Linked DNA regions of Caenorhabditis elegans. The protein of the gene in region 3 interacts with the protein of the main gene of each other region in a pairwise test. Each region holds a gene or a part of one and is shown on either strand. Other genes may lie near its edges.

Region 1 (7,913 bases), on a different chromosome or scaffold from region 3:
TTTTCAATAAATTATCGATTTTTCAAACATTGATTTTCTATAGATTATCGATTTTTAAAATATTGATTTTTTTTACAAAATATCGATTTTCTATAGATTATCGATTTTTTTCTAAATATTGATTTTCTATAAACTATCGATTTTATTAAAATTATTGATTTTCCATAGATTATCGATATATACATTTTTAATTTATCGATTTTCTCCCCACTATTGTGCAAAATATTCCTCCCAAGAAATCTTCAAATATTTCCAGAAAAACGCGAAAATCGTCTACTGGACAATGCTCGGAATTTGGACGATTTGTCTGGTTTTATTCGTTCTCGTTTACTTCAGTATTTTCCCGCTTTAAATAAAACAGTTTGGGTGGAAAATGAATAAAGATATTGGATTTTTCGTTCGATTTTGTGTTGTTCTTCAAAATATAGATTTTCAATAAAAACTATTGATTTTTCAACAAAAAATAATATTGATTTTCTTTCAGTGTTCGATTTTTCAGGAATACAATTATCGATTTATTTTAAATTATTGATTTTTCATAGATTATCGATTATTTTTTAAATATTGAAAAAAAATGATCGATTTTCAAACATTGAGCCATAATGAATTTTTGATTTTTTAAATATTGATTTTTCATAGATTATCGATTTTTTTTTAAATATTGATTTTCTAAAATTATCAATTTTTAAAAATACTGGTTTTATAAGATTTATCAATTAAAAAACTGATTCGTAGCAAATTAACAATGTTTCAAAAATAGAGATTTTTTTATAAACAATCGATTTTTTAATTATTGATTTTCTATAAACTATCGATTTTTTGAAAATATCAATTTTCAAAAAAATGATCGATTTTTAGAATATTGATTTTTCGAATATTACTGACTTTCTATTAATTATCGATTTTTCAGAAATATTGATTTTGAATAAATTATTGATTTTTTAATATTTCGATTTTCTTTCAAAAATTTCAAAAAAAAAAAATTAAAGCCATTTATTATCGATTTGACAGGATTGGACAGTAAGGAAAAATATGAACATTAGTAGGCATCTCTGGATGTGCCAAATGAATACAACCCGTGTGAGTAGGTCAAAAAACTGACAGGAAAAGTCGAGAAAAGTAAACGTTTTGAAAAAAATGAAATTGATTGGAAAAAAAAAACGTAGAAGTTTGCCCGTATCGTAATAGATTAGAAGAACGATGGAGGACTGGAATCAAGCAGTTTCCTGTTGTTGACACGTGTCACAGGAATCGATTTTCTCGTCGAACGGCTCCACTTGGACAGTGGCGACGGCAACTCCGAATCGCCGGCGGATCAGGGAACGGGCTTCGGCAACATTTTCCATGGCGCGGTTAGGAGATTCTGGAATATTGGAAGAGTTAGAAAAATATATTTTTATTAAATATTAAAATTCAATATCATGAAAGGCAGCACTTTTCCCTTGCAGAACATTCCAGGAAATTTCCAGAAAACTTTGAATTTCCCGCCAAAATTGTTTCTCAAAAAATTTGAATTTCCCTTCAAAATTCTCATTTAAAAATTTGAATTTCCCACCAAAAATCATTGGAAAAAATTGAATTTTTTTGCCAATTTTTTTAGAGCACATCTGAATTTTTTTTCAAAAGTTTCATTTAAAAAATTTGAATTTCTCGCCAAAACTGTTATTGAAAATTTTGAATTTATCTTCAAAACTTCAATAGCACGTGGTGTCAGGCTGTCTCATTGCGGCTTGATCTACTACAAATGCGGGAATATTTTTACAGAAAAATTGTCAGCACGCTCTTAACCATGCGAAGTCAGATGAGATGTATGCGTCTCAACTCCCGCATTTTTTGAAGATCAAATCGAAATAAGACATTCTGACCCCACGTGCAACAGAGAGACAATTTGAATTTCCTGCCAAAAAATTTTTAAAGGAAAACTCGATTTCCCGGCAAATTTTTCGAAAGAAAATTGTTTGAATTCCCGCCAAAAATTTTATAGCCAAAGTTTGAATTTGCCGCCAAAACTAACAGTTTAAAATTTTGAATTTCCCGCCAAAATTCCTATAAAAAATGTTCGAATTTCCCGTTAAAAATTATTCTCAGAAGATTTAAATTTCCTCCAAAATCTTTATATCAAAACTTTGAATTTCCCGCCAAAAATTATTCAGAAAATTTAAATTTCATTCAAAGTTTTTCAGAGAAAATTTGAAATTTTTAAAATCCAATTTTTGCTCTAAATTGAATTTCCCTTCAAAATTTTCATTTAAAATTTTGAATTTCCGGCCAAAAATTGATTGAATAAATTTGCATTTATATCCACAATATATATTTAAATTATTTGAATTTCCCGGTAGAAACTTCAATGGAAAAATTTGAATTCCCCGCCAAAATTATTTTTTAAAAATTTGAAATTCCCGGCAAACATTTTTAAAAGTAAATTTGAATTCCCGCCAAAATAACTATTGAAAAATTTGAATTCCCGCCAAAATCTTTATTGAAAAATTTCAATTTTCCGCCAAAATTTTCTCAGTTTTACTCAAAACTCCAAAATGAGAAGCCACTCACCAAGTGCCAAATGCACCGAAAACGCAGTCTTATCCATTCCAATAGACCATAAATGCAAATCATGAACACCTTTTACACCTTCCAACGCACTCAACGCCTTCTTCACATCACTCAAGTCATAGTGGCTCGGTGTGGCTTCCATCAAAACGAAAAAGATGTCCCGCATAACTGTAACCGTCGTGAAGAGCACGATAATCGAGAAAAGGAATGTGCAAATCGGATCGGCAAGTGTCCATCCGGTAAACCTAATGATAAGGGCAGCAATCAGGACTCCAATGGATTGCACCAAATCTCCAATGACATGAATCAGAGCAGCTCTAACATTCACATTCTTTCCATCATGAGCATGTCCATGACTTGAGTGTCCTCCATGAGTGTGCCCATGACCTCCAGTTCCGAAGTGCAACACCAATCCCATAACGATATTAAAAAGGACTCCGACGCCCGCGGTGATGAGCATCACATCAGCATCCACCTCATGCTCATTGTTCACAATTCGCTGAATAGCGACGACGACGAGCACTGTCGTGAGCACCCAGAGAATGATCACAGACGTCAGAGCACCAAGAACTTCGGCTCGCTCGTAACCGAATGAAAGACGCTTCGATGCGGGAAGACGTGCACAACGAATCGCAAAAATTGAGATGATGAATGAGAGAAGATCACTGAGCATGTGTCCGGCGTCTGTCATAATTGCTAGCGATTGAGCCCAGAATCCACCGACGAACTCGGCGGCGATGAAGACTGCGGATAGTGCTGCAACTGCCCATAGCACTTTTTCTGCTCGGCGACCCTGGAAACGAGAAATATTAGTTGGAAAATCCAAACAAAAAATTTTATGTCCATTTTTTTTTTGGCGAAAAAATGTTTTTTTTTAAAGTTATACACTGTGTTTTTAAAAAAATTACTACTAAAATTGTGCGGTAACACTGAATTCTGAGAATGCATGTGGTGCCAGGCTGTCTGTCCCATTACGGTTTGATCTACAAAAAATGCGGGAATATTTTGCCCAAAAAATGTGACGTCAGCACGAACTCTGCGTCTCTTCTCCCGCATTTTTTGTAGATCTACGTAGATAAAGCCGAAATGAGACATTCTGACATCACGTGAGACTGCGTATTGCACAACATATCTGACGCGCAAAATATCTCGTAGTAATTCAGTAATTCAATAAATTACTACTTTAGCGCAGTTTTTCTTTGCTTTTTCGTATTATCTTTGTTTTCATTCTTTGCTTAATTTTGATATTATATCGATAAATCTATGAACATAGAGCCGCGTAAATCGACACTACAGTAGTCATTCAAAGAATTACTGTAGTTTTCGCGTCGAAATATTTTGCGCGTCAAATAATGTTTTGATTTTTTCAGAAAAATATTCAAATGTATAAATTCTTGTCATATTTTTTGCGTTTTTTTTTCGCATTTTTGTCAAAAAAACGTCCCGCTAACTGAAAAATGCCTTGATTTTTATATATTTCAAATAAAATTGCAATTTTTCAAGAACATTTTCAGGGAAACTAATTTAAATTTGGAAAAAAAATCAGTTATTGAAATTTTCGACACTTTTCCAATATTTTTCAACATTTTAGGATGAAATATTCAATTCACAGGAAGTCGTCGTATTGCTAGATATTTGTGGGCGGCAAACGATTTTTTCCGGCAAATCGCCAAATTGCCGGAATTGAAAATTTTTGGCAAATCGGCAAATCGACAAATTGCCGGAATTGAAATTTCCGGCAAATCGACAAATTGCCGGAATTGAAAATTTCCGGCAAATCGACAAATTGCCGAAATTGAACATTTCTGGCAAATCGACAAATTGCCGGCAAATCGGCAAATCGACAAATTGCCGGAATTGAAAATTGCCGGCAAATCGGCGAATTGCCGGAATTGGAAATTTCCGACAAATCGTCAAATTACCGGAATTGAAAATTTCCGGCAAATCGGCAAATTGCCGGAGTTGAAAATTTCCTCTGATATGTATAATTGCGAGCTCGTGTTTTGGCTTGATTTTAAAAAAAACACATTTTTATGCTAAAATGGTCGATTTTGGGCTTTTTACATAGATAGCAATAATTAAAATTAAAAGCAACATTTTTTGAAAAATTTAGTTTTAATATAATGGTCATTTTAATAGAGGTAAAAGTTGAGCCATGTTGCAAAAAAATTTGCTATGTACCTTTTGATATTTCTCATCATGACTATGCTTATGCGCTCCTCCTCCTGCTCCACTACAATCCGAAGAGGAATCATCATTATTGTGTGTGTGTGAGTGCCCATGACCCCCATGAGAGTGCCCATGCCCATGACCGTGATGATGGTGGTCAATAGAGTCGGCAGATACTCCAGAATCCGAAGAGGACACCGACTGGGTGTCCTCTTCGATGTTGGCGGGCAGGTTGGATGAGGAAGAGTCACGTTTGTCACTGGATAGGCGGATTGATGACGGAGATATCATTGAGATTGTCATAGTTCTAGAGATTTCAAAAAATATATTTAACGGGAATTAAGAGAAATGAGTACGGCACGTGTATGTGTGTCAGGCTGTCCCATCAAGGTTTGATCTACCAAAAATTCCCGCAATTTTTGTAGATTTTCGTAGATCAAAACGACGTGGGACACTCTGACAAGAGCAGCGAAATTTCAAAATGAAAAACTTAGTTACTTAGTTCCGCGATTTTTTTTGTTGTCCCCTTTCAAAGAACAACACAAAGACTGGGGAGCGGTGGAATGCGTTTTGACAAACAAATAAACAAGACAAAAATGGGGTGAAAAAAGAGAATAAGGAACACAATAAACAGGAGAATAGGAAAAGGAAATGGAGAACAAAATTGAATATGGGAAAACGTTCTGGCTGATAGGAAAAAAAGGAAAAAAATTGAGTGGGAAGGAAGGTCGCAAGATTTTTTTATGCAAATTTTTAAAAATCAAAGATCTTTCGAGTCATGCAGGAATTTGTTTTTTTTTTGGATATGAAGCTCCAAGAGCTCCGCGAGCCAGCTTACTTTTGGACGTATTTCAATAGAAATACATTTTTTTCTAAAATTAGATTCTTATGAAAAAGTTAGTACTTTGAATTGAAAAATTCGAAGGTTTTCAGTGCATTTTTTAAAGTTTCAAAGCCAGTGAAATTTCGTGAATATTTTCAAAATCTGTATTTTTTTGGATTTTTTTCCAAAAAATTTTTTTTTAATTTTCAGTTATTTTTCAAAAAATACCGACTTAAATGCCAGATTTTTTTTCTTCAAATTTCATCGTTTAATTCAAAAAAAATCCGGCAATTTTTAGATTAAAAAGAATAGAAAAAAAAATATTTTTTGCCTTAAAAAAGTTTAGAAAATTTTCAAAAAATCGAAAAATTTTATATTTTATTTTTCAAAAATACAATTTCTGAAAAAAACCTCAAGTGGTTCTTAAATTAGGTAAACATTTAATTTTAAGCTTCTACAACTTTTATGAAAAAAATTTTGACATAAAATTTTCAAAAAAAAATCAGTTTTAACAAGATAAAAAGAAATTAGCTTGAAAACTCCGCTTTGCACAAATTTTTAAGTTTTTTGGAAAAAAATTCCAGGAAAAAGTTATATGAAAAACCAAAAAATTCATGCCAAAAGTTCAAAAAAGCAAAAAAGCAAACAAATTCTTACAAAAAATTGGAAACTTTTCAACAGAAAAAAAAACTTCAAAAAAAATTCTTATTGCTTTCTGCAAAGCAATAAGAATTGCAAGACTGAAAATGTGAGGCATTCAAAAAAAATTCACAAGCGCATAATAAGAAACACGAGGAGAGAGATTATAGATAGTCAATGAAGGAAAAGCAGAAGAAGAACCAGATTGTATTTCCTGCCATCAAGCATCTATCTATCTAGCAAAAACGAGAGACTTGCAAGTGAAAAGTGAAGGAAAAAAAAAACGATTTTGATCTACCTCCCTGTAAACGAGGCGAAAGTGTAAAAATTATTGTTAAGCTACTGGGAATTTAATTAATTTTAATTTACAGACTTTGGCAGACTTCTAGAAAATAAAAAGGTGAAACAAAACTTTGGTCAAGATCGTTTGATGTGCCGTTTATGTAGGCGAGAGATGGACATAAGACTGCCTCTAAATGGTCTTCTGAATTCAAAAAGACACAAATTCTATGTCTTGAACTTCAAAAAATAAGTTGAGAAAATGTAAAGATCAAGTATTTTGTGTTTTCATCCATCAAAAATCCTTCAAAAATCTCAGAAAAAAGTTGTTGAAAATTTGAATTTTTTGGGGTCGAATTTCCGGTATTCTCTACTTTTTGGCTACATTATTATTTTTTCGACAAACTCCCAGAAAAGTTGTGGAAACTAGGGAGGAACTACAAAAAAAAAGGTACAAATTTTCAGGGCTTGAATTGAACTTTTTCAAACTAGTTGGGGAAAGAAGGAGTCAACAAAATAATTAGTGATTTTTTAGAACTCATCAGAATTTTTACAAAAACATTTTACTTAGGCTTAAGATGAGGCTAATGCTTAGGCTTAGGCGTAGGCCTAGGCTTAGGCTTAAGCTTCAAATTAATTTGTGTTCAAAAATTGTGATCTACAAGATTCTTAGGAAAAAAATAAGAATCCTTTAAAAAAATCATCTTCTGATCGCTTGATCTCTGATTTTAATACAATTTATATATAAAAAAAATATTATTAGATGCCCTTTAAAAGGCTCATGTGATAACATAAGTAGCAACAATATCACGTGGAAAAATATTAGGTAATTTAAAAATATTTTCTAGAGAACTGAAGAAAGCAATAAAAGTGCAGAAAATGTGAAACGGAAATTGTTTCGAAAAAAGACAAAAAAAGAAAGAAAAAAAGGAGGCCGAGATGATTTACACACCTCCCACACATATGAGAAACTAGTTTTTTTTTGTTGGAAAAATGATAGAGTTGAGACAAAAAAAAAGAGAGATCAAGTAAAGTGAAAAGGACGTAATGTGAACCGAACTCTTTATCAGTATAGGTGTCTTAAAAAAGTGTCAGCATTTTCGTGATTAAATGTCGGGGCTTTTTCATAAAATTTATATACATGTCGACGGAGGAGGAGGAGGAGTGAAAGTGTGATAAGGGGGAGACGTCATTCTAGTTTGTGATACAGTTTCGTGAAATGTATTCCGGAGAAGTACTGCAATTAGAAATGACCTTATTAGGAGTGTGCGGCAATTGTGGCGAATTTGCCGCAAACACCTCAAATTGGATTTTAAAAAATTGACCGAAACTATTGATTTTGTTCAAAAAATTATAGTAAAAAAACATAAAATTGAGGTATTCAAAAATTAAACTTGTGCTAAGAATTTAGTAATTTTGGAGCTCCTAGAAATATCATTAAAACTTTTTAAAA
Region 2 (6,493 bases), on a different chromosome or scaffold from region 3:
CCATCCGCCGCGCTACAGTACAAAACGTTTTGGTGCGCGAAGTCAAGAAGTTGCTGGACACTGCGGTGGCTCTTTAAGTGGCTCAGACGGTTTCCGATGGGGTGTGCTCTGGGAGCCCAAGATGGTGAGGGGGAGAGCCTAGCGCTTGCCCAAACAAAGTCATATCCCCCCTCCTTCCAACCAACTCAAGTGTTGTTTCTGTGCTTTTGGAGATCGTTCGATAGTTGATGAGTCTCTTTTAGGTATTCAATCTTAGTTTGCTCTCAACTCTTTGCCCCTGCTTGTTGATACTTTTTACATTGTAATTAAGTGTCATTTGCAGTGATTGGGCCTGCTGCTTAGTTCTATTTCTGGATTGTGTAATTCTAAGTTTTTGATACAACTACTATGTATACTACTAGATTCCTAAAATTGCAAAAGGCTCTGTAAAATAATTGTAATGGTTTTTGCATTATTACGTACAACTGTTCTAAATTAATAAGTTATTTTTATAAGGTTTTGTGTTTGAAAACGTAAGGTACTTAGTGAAGTTTTATTAGTACAGGAAAAATAGTCAGAATTTTTTAATAAATTTTCTAGCTCGATCTACATAATTAGTATTCAAAACCTTGATTCGAAAATAATTGTCTCACTGTTAGTCAACAAATCATCACGGACTATTTGTCTTCAATTATCTTGTTCATATCCCTTCTTCTCGCCATAACCGGAAATGCCTCGAAACAAATACATGTGTCCCTTCACTCTTAATACACCCTATATTCCGGTCGTCCACGCACCTTTTTTTCCTCAGCAGTCCATCAAGTGTCCCTCCGTCCTTTTCTGTCATTTGCTGCACAATTCTATTCTTTCCAAAAACTCTTTTTGTAAGACCTGGGGTTATGTGTGCACTGTTATCAATACCATGCTCTTTTCCATGACCTTACGACCCCGCGCGCGCGCAATCGTTTTGTTTTGTCTATATGCGTGTTTTTTATTGACTGACTGACCACTACATATTTGCGGCATATTCAAAAAAAAGGTGTTTAGAGATAGACAATTAGGCGACGAGATGTATCATGCACACATACATTTTTATCTTCTCTAGCGTATTTTTGCGCCGTATTTTTTTTCTGATGCAAAGTCCCCAGATAATACCATAAGTAGAACGCGATCCGAGAAGCTAGCCACAGGGGTGATTTTTTTTCGTTGCTAATTTTTTTTTGCTTTTCAAAATTGTTGTTTTCCGTAAGTACAATTTTAGCATTTTTTTTAGGAACGACAAAAAATCGTCAGATCAATTTGTAATTTGAAATTTGAATCCAAATAATCTCTTGGTTTTAAAAATTTAGCATTTCAACAAATATCAACACAAAAACTAAGTTTAATTATTCAATGTTTATCAACTGAATTTTTATTAAATTGAAAAAAAAGTTGTTTTTAAAAGTTGTTTTTTAAAAATTTATTTCATCATGTTACCGTGAATTGAAAATTTGAACTTTTCAGTTATTTGAGAAGATTCCCTATTTTGAAAATGTTGGCAACATATTTTTGAGCGTAAAATGTTCACAATGAACTGTAATTTTTTGATTAATCAAAAATATATATCAGAATCAATTTTAAGGTTTGTGACCTCCAACATTTCCAAAAAACATAACTGATAGCATAACAAGTAAGTTCAAAAACTTTGCGTCTCTTGAGTATTATTGGGAGGTAGTTTGAAATTCCCCAACTATCTTTGAAACATTTGAGAATTTCACTTTTTAAAATTATGTAATTGATTCACTTGTTGGTATTTTTCCATGAAATTCCGACAGTTTGCCATTTCCAAATGCGCGGTCATTTGTCAACTGTGCTCCGCCTTGGCCTTCATTTCTACTCAATTTTCTCAGCAAAGTTTGTCCCGTCTAAACGGAACTACTAAACTTTTTTGCTTTTGCCGTTTTTATTTCGGAAATTTTTATTTGAATTTTCATCCAAATATTTTCTAAAAACGTATTTCGATATCGGTAACCCCAGCAAATCTCATTTTTCCGCATAACAGGACAAACACACTGTCCTTTTCGCTTCACTTTTTTGCTATCCCCTTCTTTTTTCCGTGTGCGTGCCGGGTGAAACTAGTCTCATCATTTGAAAATTGTCTGTATAATATCCGACCTACTACACATAAAATATATAGATGTTGGAGATGTTGACAGCCGGAAATTGTTTGGAACTAATTAGCTGCTGAGGGTTTTTTGCTGTAATTCAAGTGGACCCAGCACTTTTTGAGTATTTTGAATTTGTACTTACGCATAATTAAGCTTGTTCATTCTTATTTCTTTTAAATAAAAAAACTCCTGAAATCACAATAAAACAATATTGTCGCTTGTTATGGGATAAAACCCCATATTTCAGCTAATTTTATTAACACATACAAGTACATTAGGAACTAGATGATAATAAAAAAAAGTAGGAAATATTTTATCAGACGACAATTAAAAGTAAAATCAAAAGCATGAGCTGCCAAACTGAAACGAGCACAAAAAAAATGTCGAAATTGTACAAATACTCTCGAAAACCTTTTTTTTTAACTAAACGCTGAATTTCTATGTTTTCACTTTTTATAAACGTTTGAAAATTTTGTATATCTTCAATCACTCGGTCAACTGAAACTTTCCCTACTATTTCCAAATTACCGTCGAAATGCCACAGGGCAGCTAGCTGACCCCTGGCAACCACGAGATTCCCCCCCCCCCCCCCTTCATCTCTCTTGCCCGTGTTTCCTCTTCCGTTCTAATTACCTGCTTATTATCCGACAATACACCTGGCTCTCTAGGACCTTCTCTTTCTCTCTCGCGTCACTCCGGCAGCTAGCGTGTGCGGTACAGAAGAACAATCGTCAAGCGGCAAACTACCTTTTTTACCTCCAAACACAAAACAATTCGACTAGCTGCCGTCATTACTCCTATTTGGGATCTGCATTCAATGATCTACCACTCATGAAATATCAACATTTTCTCATATTTTGTACCCTGGTTACAAATGGTAAGTCTACTACTAAGATATGATGTCATTCGGTTTCACAGACTGATTGATCTGAGTGTGAAAAGTTTTGGTTTAGACTAGATGAGAGATAGAAATGTATAACACGAAGTTTAAGTGAACATCTCAAAAACTGAAAATCTAATTTAAATTCAAAATATGTTTGAGAAAGTTGATTTTGGGCTTTTAAGTGTTGAGCATTGTTGTATCTGAAAACTCTCAATTTTTGCAGCCCATCTCTTCTTTGATTTTGTAATCGTTTATATATTTTCAACTAAAATTGTAAACAAATAACTATTAACATATTTGTCGGTTAACAATTATTTCAGAAGCCCAGACCTTTTCAATAAAACACATGACTTCTTTCTCTGAAAATTAAATGAAGCTCGTATATTTCATACCAAAAAACAAAATAAATTTCTAAATTTTGTTTTCCAAAGATCAGTTCCAATCTAAAACTTGGACAAAACTACCAACTGACTTTTTGCAAAAAGTAATCCATCATTATCATTAAGACAGATGAATACCACAAGCTGTCACTAAAACTCTTTTCAGCACTATGTAACAGAGCGTGCAGTCGGAACACATGTCTTAACGGCGGAACTTGCACAGTGAACGATGAGACGCGAATGTTTCAGTGTGAATGTCCGAAGGGTTTCAGTGGGTTGCTATGTCAGGACAACTGCTCTTTGCACTGTCTCCACGGTAACTGCGTGAAAGGAACGTTTGGCGAAGAAACTTGCCAGTGCTCCGAAGGATGGATGGGCTCACTTTGTGATAATCTAGTTACTGATGATGACACTGCTCAAAAGTGCTCACCGCAATGTGGCGATGACGAAAGGTATACATGACCTTGTGCAAACCAAAAACATGTATGTTTTTTATAGATGCACAAAAGGAGCCGACGGATCATACATTTGCCAGAGCAACGAGCCGTCTTGCGCAACACACACTTGTCAGAATAACGGCACTTGTGTTGCCGAGAACGTGAGTGACTTGAGTCCAGAGTGATAAAAACCAATAGAATGTTCAGGGAAATGTAAAATGTGCCTGCCCACCTGGATTTGTTGGAGATCACTGTGAAACTGACGAGGACGAGTGCAAAGAAAATTTTTGTCAGAATGGAGCAGATTGTGAAAATTTGAAAGGAAGTTATGAATGCAAATGTTTAAAAGGATTTTCTGGTGAGTTTTGGTTTGAAAATTTGGATGGGAAGGATGAAATATAGTTTTCCAGTAGACATAATTGTGAAAAAAAAACCTGAAGTTTGAAAAACGTTTAGTTAGATTTTTTCAATAAGACTAGTGTGAATTTGATCAAAAATCATTTATAAGGTGCTAAATGACCAAATGTCATAAAAAATTTTCTAAACAATTCGGGGATTTTTTATCTCGAGTCAAAAATCGCATACATGTTTTTGCCACGTTTCGACAAATCTGAAGCATTGTCATGTTGATCCCTTTTGGCTCGAAATAAAATCATTTCTTCAGGTTGTTCAAAAAGTTTTATTATGATATTTGGACAAATACCCAGTTTTTTTGCAATACTTATAGTTTTCAACTTTCTTATTATTTTCTCAATTTTGTTAACGTTGCTGATTTGTTGAGAGTTTACATTCGAATAAATTATTTTATAAAAACAAAAGAAAACTAAGAAGAAACATGTTTTCACAATTTCTTCTAGGTAAATACTGTGAAATCCAAGACAAGAAACAATGCACTTCTGATTATTGTCACAACAATGGTCAATGCATTTCGACTGGCTCCGATCTCTCCTGCAAGTGCTCTCCCGGGTTTGATGGTGCATTCTGCGAGCTCAAAGCAGAGGTAACACCAATTTTCTCACTGTTAATTGCTTGTGTTTTTTCTCAGGTTAACGAGTGTATATGTGAAAACCCGGCTCATGTTTGTTCACTCGTAAACGGGACGTCAAGGACAACGCAATGCGAGTGTCCTTCGGGGTTTATGGTACGTTTGACGAATAATCTGGGCATGTTCGGATATGGGTCCCTCGCGCAATCTATCGTTTAATTGCAGGGTGCCGACTGTAAAGAGTTGCAAGCTCGTCCATGCGATCGTGAGCCGTGTCTTAATGGGGGTCACTGCGTCGACGACGGGCAGAATCTCTTCACCTGCTTTTGCCTTCCCTCTTTTACCGGCATCTATTGTGGAGAGCCTGTTGATTGTCTGGTTAATGGATCGGATTGTAAGAATGGGGGAAAGTGTGTGTTCGCGTTAGCCGCAACTACCTGCCAGTGTCCGGAAGGATTCAATGGGTCCAATTGTGAAATAAGTAATTCATATCGGTCACATCCAACATGCAGTGACATTCGATGTTTGAATGGTGGAAGCTGTAAACTCGACGCAGAAGGGGAACCGTTTTGTGTATGTGAAGAAGGGTTTGATGGACCGTTCTGTGAGCCAAAATCTGGATGCACAATTAATCCCTGTCAAAATGGAGGAACTTGCCAAGATGCAGGTAATAAGAAAAAGAATAGAGTTTTTTAGGGAGCTGTAAATTAATTTTTGTGCTGATACTGATACTCTTTAAAGTTTTACAATTTTTCAGATGGACAATACTTCTGTCATTGCACATCAGGCTTTGGTGGCGTCCACTGCGAAACGGTGGATGAGCCTTCAACCCCTATTCCCACATTAGGAACGTTTCCATCTTTTACAACTTCTGGAATCGACGGATTCTCTCAGAGTGTGAGTGTTTTAGTTTTTTATTCAAAATTCGTTCATAATAAATACTTGCAATATTAAAATTTTTCAGAAAATATCTTGCGAAGACTGCGTCAACTCATCCAATTGTCTTGACGTCGAATCTGGGCCAGTTTGCATTTGTGATGATGGATATTTTGGACAAAAATGTGATCAGAAACATGATGTAGGTTTTTTTTAAATGAAAAACAGTGTAGAAGAATGCTGAAGTTTTACGAAATTTAATTGTGTCTTTTGAATTCAAAAAACTAAAACTAAAATTATATTTTTAGTCTTTTCTATGTTTTGTAACATAAAGAAATTAGTCCCTGATTTTGTTCTACATTAAATTTGAGACAGTAAGTTCAAACAGTTTTCCAGAATTGTTGGTATTATATATGTACTTTAAGAAAATTTTAAAAAGTAAAAAATGTAGACAAATCATTCCATTCTTATTTTCAGAAATGCTCTAAAGTATCCTGTCCATCTGGTCAAACTTGTAGCCAAGTGAATGATAACGTGAATATCACTGCACAATGTGGATGTGAAATAGGCCACTTTGGACAACAGTGTGAAATGGTGACGTCAGCAACATTTTCGGCGAAAAGTTTGTATATTCATCAGAGCTCCAAATTCTCCCTTGGGTACTTTCTTTTTCTCTAACTATATATTTTATGAAAAAAGCATTTCAGAACTTCTTCATTCGAAAATATTGCCTATGAACTAGAGTTTTCGTTCCGCACAACTGTGGAAAATACCCATTTGGCGAGCAGCGAGAACATTCTCGGAGA
Region 3 (6,353 bases):
CTTGACAGGCTCACATCCAACGGATCCTTTGCAAGAGCTTGCAAAACAGAAATGCTCACAGATGTTAGAAGACGTTGAACACGGTGATGTGGTCTCGGGATTGCTATTTTTAAACACCAAAAGTTCGAAAACCGTTGCAGAATACTGAAAGACTTCCTGCACGTCGTCTGGAAAATCTACATTGACTCGTTTAACAGCTCCTTTCTTGAATTCCGTATAGAAAATGTGATTGTCGAAAAAAGCGAGCCCATAAGGATGAGAGATCTTGTCAGCGCCATGAACAACAACTTCTCGATCAGCTCCATTCCAACGAATCCTTTCAATAACATTTCGGTATGCATCACACCAGTACAAGTAATCATTTTTAAGATCCAAAGTCAATCCATTAATCCACATTGCGTTCTTCGAGACTAACGTTTTTCGTTCACTTCCGTCAAGTTTCGATCGTTCAATCATTGCAGGGATCTTCTCATCGTCATTATTGTCCTCATTCCAACTTCCCCAAAAAAGATAGCTCTTTGCAATGTGGATGGCGATGGCTCTTGGATTGCTCATATTCCCACTAACAACTACTTTTTGGATGGAAAGATTTGAAAGTCTTTGAACCGTAATTATCTTTCGTCGTTGATCAGTCATGTAGAGGTTATCCGATGTAAAATCATAAGCCATTCCTTCACAGTTCATGATTCCAGTAAGTCCGTGAACTGTGTAATTTGTGGATCCAATCTTTTGCACTACAAGTGAATGCCTTCTCAAATCATACATCAGAAGTTGTTCTCCTTTTGGATCAAAAGTCATTGCACTCGGACGTTTGACATTCAGAAGATCTGAGACTCCGATGATCTCTGTCCGATAGTTCTTGTCGAATCCAAGGATCTTGATCCTCGAAGGTCTTAACTGAGCAAGAACAAATAATTCTTCATCTTTAAGATCTTTCGAGGCGGAACATTTTGTGTTATTCTGAATGTACCCATCTCTACAAAAACACGACGAAGTTTGATTGATATGCCCTATACACATATCATCACACATTGCCGCTTTGCAAATATTCTTTCCCTTGTTCTTCCATGCATGCTCATTTCGTCGAAAGTGCAAAACTTCAAGGATCTGAATATTCTCGTTCCCTTGTTTTCTCTGAGGTGTCACTTCCTGCCAAATCTTCATATCAGAATTCGAATCCAATGCATTCATTGCAAATACTCGATTGTCTTTCAGTGTCAGAAACAACCGACCCTCTGCGTAATCAATCATTTTAACTTCTTTCGCAATTCGGCCACTAACAATAGTTCTTGAGTAGTTTGCATTATAGTCAACGGCTTTGATGGATCGTGCGCCAATATCCACAAAGTATAATGTCTCGGTGAATGGGTCAATTGCAAGTGCAGGAGAAGTAATCGGTTGATAGGATAGTCGGTATCGTTGACCAGATGCTACATCGATTCTCCATATTCCTTGTTGTAAAACATCAACTTCAGATACCAAAAGCTGTCCGTTCAATCCATCATACTTCATATCTTGAATTGTTCCCATATCACCTGCGGTAACAGTTCGACAGGACGATATTCGTACACTATTATGCTTGCAAATGAATACATAATAAGAAGCATCCGTAAAAATCCAGTTGTTACCAATATTATCGAATCGTATGATGTGAATAGAAGACAAATCAAAATCAATTGCATAAGTCTTGGTTGCAGGTTCGGAGCCTTCAACATTTCCGCATGTGATATAACTATCATTTGCCGATGGAGATTCGGAGAGACAGAGTATTGGAACAGTGGCCTCCGGGAAGTCAGGATGCTGGATGACAAGAGTCATTGCTCCGGGTTTTCCTAGTGGTCGAGGCATGCTTGAATAGCTAGACATCTTGTTTTTCTGAAGCACAAAGAGCTTTTTCTTGGTGAGAATTGCTACACTGGGGATGGTTTCTGAAATAAGTTTTTTGTTTTTTTTTTTTTGAAATAAAAGTGTTCATCAAAAAAATTTTAAACTCACGATCTTTATCAGCCACACAATGCGTTCCATTGACAACTGTGAGCCTGGGATCGAAGCAGGAACACGTGAAAGTACCGTTCTTGTTGTCAGTGCAATCTTGACTGCATACAGGGGGAAGTCCTGAAAGTCTACTTTTCACTTTCTGAAGTTTTTTAAACATTTATTTCCCATGTTGTTGCTTTGTCTTATTCTTAGACGTTTTTGTCGATTTCTCATCGATTTTTTTTTCAAACTTCGCCCGTTTTTTTTCTTTTTTCTAAATAAAAAAACGTTGAAAAAATTTAAAGCAAAATTTTTTTTTAAATTCATTCAGGGGCTATTTTAAAGTTCATCCTAACAATTTGAGCTTTACCTTTTTAAAACGTAGGAAACGTAAAACTGTTGAATATTTTTTCATACTTAAAAAAAAACTCACCATTTTTGGTTCGTTCACAATGATTTACAAATTCACATTTTCCTTGCTCATTCAAAAACTTGTTCTTCGGACAGTAACACTTGATTCCATCAATCGTCATTGCTGCTCCATACTCACAACTGTCGGCTGTCTTTGGATCTTCCACGTGGCACATCGAATGCTCATCCGAGCCATCCGAACAGTCGCGTTTACCATCACAGAATTTGAAGAGAGGCACGCATTGTGCGGATTTTGAACACGCGTACTCGTTGTAATCACAGTGTAGTGGTTGATTGCCTGGAAAGTTTAGACATGAAGCGCCACGAAAATAAAATTTTCAAAGACTTACAAAGTTCAGGAGCTTCATCAGAAAGGTCGCGGTCTCCGTTTGGAAGACGTCCACAGTCGTATTGCGAATCACACAAATAGCCACGTGGCAGACATTTACCCGTTTTGCACACAAACTCGTTTTCTAGACACGTTCGTTCTGAAATTGGAATAATTAAACGAATTTTGTGGTTGAAATATGTTCTCAAAAAGACAATAGAAAAATTAAAATAGCAACTCACTACACGTGGAAGGCTCATCTGAACTGTCCTGACAATCTGGAAACCCGTCACAATACCACTGTTCCGGATAGCATTTTGGACCGCCCGGCGATTTTGCATCGCATTCTCGCATCGGTGCAACACATTCTGGGTAGTGGGGTTGGGTTTCTGAAAAAGGTTTTTTGATTCCGAAAAGTAAAAAAAATACAGGCAATTTGCTATTTTTCCAAATTTATACGGCTTTAGAATAAAATTTTTTCAAACTATTTGAAAATTCTCGATGCATTTACACACTTCACGAGTAAATTTTACTACACTGACATGGCAAAATTTTCCGAATTTTGAAAATATACAGTATCCGGTCTTAGTACAAAAATACTTCGTTAAGCGTAAGAAGGTGTGTGCCTTTGAAGATTACTGTAATTTCCAACCACTTGTTTCTACAAAACTTCATTGATTTTTCAACACATTTTTAGATTAAAAAAAATCAACGTCTTTGAAAATTACTGGCGCCCACACTTTACATTTAACAAAAAAAAATTTCGTGACTGGATCGAGTACCGTAGGAAAAAAGCTCACCCTCCGCTGACGTCTCATCTGACTGAACGAGGCTGAAACCCTGAAGGGCAACAAGAAGAATAACTAAATAACGGGCGGAGAGCATCGGAATGTGTGCAGCACCTTCATGGAGAGTCGAGAGGTACAGGTTTTGACTGAAATTAGCAAAAAAAGATGAAAAAGGAAAAAAGGGAGACAAGTTCAAAAGTCAAAAAGTAAAACGATTACGAGAAATCAATGTGATTTTAATTCAAGAACCCCCTTCTGTCTAATTGCCATTTCGTTTCGGTTCAGATGACCCAATATATTGTAGATGTTCAAATGGCAATAGAGAGAGAAAAGAAGAAAGTAAGACATTTGGAAAAGAGAAGGAAAGATGGCGATGAGCCAAATGCAATAAACAAAATTAAACTGACAAAGAGGAAATGTGAACACGAACACGAACACACAAGATTTATAAAGTATGAGGCGTTGGGGGAAGGGAAGAAGGAGCAGGAAGACGAAGTCAAAAAACAAGTTTGCTCTTTTTTATGAGATTTTTCTCAGAAAGAAGCTAGCAAAAAAAAAATCCATTTTTCGCTTTTACCGGAAAAGGTAACCGAGCAAAAACTAACTGTAAAACTCAGCGATTTATTAATTTTACACCTTTTTTAAAAATTACTTTTGGAATTTTAAATGCAAGTATTTTTAACGTATTCAATTTTTTTGGTTTTCTTGTGTTTTTTTTTGGTTTAGATCAATTCATAAAACGAATTGTATTAAACTAAAACACAAAACTAAAAAAATACTTTTTAGAAAGTAACATTCCAAATTAAAAAAAAATTTATGGAGTCCCTCAAGGAGTATAAACTAAAACTATTGAAGCTCTCCACGCAAGAATCCTTTTTAAAACCCCAAAAAGAAAATAACCAAACTACCTACAATTTTGAGATTTCCCTCACCAACAGACAACAAGGCCAAAAAAGGTACACGAGTAGAGAAGATGAGACTCAGACTGGTCGAGTAAAAATGAAACAATGAAAAATAACTTTTTGGTGATTCGGGGCAGTGTCAAAGGCAATTGGCAGGCGACGACGAAGAAGAAAAGAGTTATGTTTTGGTACATAGGCGGCGATGAAAGAAATGGGAAAGGAAGGTGGGGGGGGGGGGGGGGGTAAATGGAACAGTATGTGGACACAAAGAGGCAATTTAATAGATTGACTGTGAAAACGTTTAGCGTAAGTACATTCAATTAATAGTTTACAATACTGAGAGCAAAAATATAAGTTTTCGTTTTCTAGAAATAAATTGGCACAACTTTAGCAGATTCTCATAGATATCAAAAAAAAAAATTTAACTGCAAATTTGTAGAGTTAGTCACGATAAATGTTTTGTCAGTTTACAACTTTTTAGTAAAATCAAAAACTAACGAAATATGGACGCTGTAGTTTCAATAGTTATGGTTAAGTGCAAAAGTTATGCAAAAAAATTGAACAGCTAGCACGCGCACCTTCTAAAAATTTCAAACATGGCGTCTGCAAGAGTACGCTTTTTTTGCTCCACTGAGACTTTTTTATGAATAAAGCGAACTAAGAGCTCCTGAATAATTTCATCCAGACCGCACACATTCGACGCGCAACAATAAAAAAACGGAATGTGATCCGACAAAAAGCGGCAAGTAAGTAGGCAATAAAACTGGAGACATTCATCTCTGGGTGTCTTTTTTTGACTTTTCAAGAAGAAGAAGAAAAATGAACGGAAGTTGAGAAAAAGAGAGAGAAACGCAGAACGATAAATGGTTGAGCCAAGTGCGTGGCCGACGAAAAAGCGGATGTATATTTGGTAAATCGAGTAGAAGTGGAGAGGGTAAATGTTTATGGTATTTCGTGCATTTGGAGCATTTAAATTGTGGTAGTTATTGGGTTCATAACAAGTTTTTTTTGGGAAATTACGTGACTTTTTTTGGAAGCAGCAGTTCTAGGTTTTGGGAGATGTGGGAAAAAGTTTTGGAATCGGAAATTCTAAAGTTTACTGCAAATTGAGCAGATACTAGAGAAGAGGGGGATTTTTGCCAAATTTTGGTACTTGGAAAGTTTGAAACATTTTGAAATGTAGGGGATTTTATAGAACACAGACACATTTTTTGGTGAGCTGACTCATGCCTAGTTACTTGCCTACGTGCCTACCTATCGCCTATTATTTTTGTATTTTGGCATACCTCCTTGGGTGCTTGGTGTTCGAACTTCTTATTTAATTTTAAGATTTGAAATTTTATTACACTTCGCAAATTTTTGGCCGTAGGTACGCCATGTAGGCCCAATCAAGGCTCGCCTTGTAGGCAGGCAGGAATTTTTGAACTTACGAAGTGATAAGTTTTTCTGTACAAATTTTTTCGAATAAAATTTATTTTTTCAAACTATCGGATCAAATTCATTTTGTGATAAATTATTCCAACGTCTATATATTTTGAATCATGCTAAAATAATCAAATACCAACATATTTAGTAAAATTCGAATCAAAATTTTATCAAAAAAACTTCAAAGCTTTCGTTTTCAGATTTTCAGCAACCAAGTTGTAAACTGAACACTTTTGTATAGAAATTCAATTTTGAAAAAAATTGAACTTAAAATTTGCCAGATTTTGGAGTAATTAACCAAAGTAGAAATTTTATTTTCATCGTTTTCATGTTTTTTTAAATTATAACCGTTTAATTTTTCCTTTAAACTTTTGGTTGAAAAGTAGAGATTCAAAAATTAGAGACATGGAGAATGAAAAAAGTGGGGAGAAAAAATGAAAAAAAAAAAACGAATGAAAGAGACCGAGAAAATGTATCTCTAACGCTCTAAATCTCTCTCCTACTAACCCTATAGAGTGACCT

Evidence for each region.
Region 1: the proteins of lrp-2 (region 3) and ttm-1 interact in a two-hybrid assay, tested with the Caenorhabditis elegans proteins (one large-scale study listed by BioGRID).
Region 2: the proteins of lrp-2 (region 3) and crb-1 interact in a two-hybrid assay, tested with the Caenorhabditis elegans proteins (one large-scale study listed by BioGRID).

The regions. Positions count from the first base shown.
Region 1 is NC_003281.10:12,951,991-12,959,903, forward strand, and holds ttm-1 (Zinc transporter ttm-1), read right to left. Parts: upstream 5,182-7,913; 5' UTR 5,023-5,181; coding exon 4,732-5,022; intron 3,344-4,731; coding exon 2,551-3,343; intron 1,364-2,550; coding exon 1,215-1,363; 3' UTR 979-1,214; downstream 1-978. Other genes in the region: Y39E4A.1 (uncharacterized protein), read left to right, coding at 257-352. UniProt on the Caenorhabditis elegans protein: Promotes excretion of zinc from intestinal cells into the intestinal lumen in response to increased dietary zinc. Involved in cadmium resistance, possibly by promoting its transport from cells.
Region 2 is NC_003284.9:17,410,314-17,416,806, reverse strand, and holds the start of crb-1 (uncharacterized protein), read left to right. Parts: upstream 1-2,792; 5' UTR 2,793-2,957; coding exon 2,958-3,003; exon of another isoform or gene 3,004-3,115; intron 3,116-3,555; coding exon 3,556-3,841; intron 3,842-3,887; coding exon 3,888-3,987; intron 3,988-4,033; coding exon 4,034-4,184; intron 4,185-4,683; coding exon 4,684-4,826; intron 4,827-4,871; coding exon 4,872-4,967; intron 4,968-5,036; coding exon 5,037-5,478; intron 5,479-5,568; coding exon 5,569-5,708; intron 5,709-5,775; coding exon 5,776-5,889; intron 5,890-6,164; coding exon 6,165-6,346; intron 6,347-6,394; coding exon 6,395-6,493.
Region 3 is NC_003279.8:3,950,342-3,956,694, forward strand, and holds the start of lrp-2 (EGF-like domain-containing protein), read right to left. Parts: upstream 3,651-6,353; 5' UTR 3,602-3,650; coding exon 3,517-3,601; intron 3,106-3,516; coding exon 2,959-3,105; intron 2,877-2,958; coding exon 2,739-2,876; intron 2,687-2,738; coding exon 2,411-2,686; intron 2,116-2,410; coding exon 1,996-2,115; intron 1,929-1,995; coding exon 1-1,928.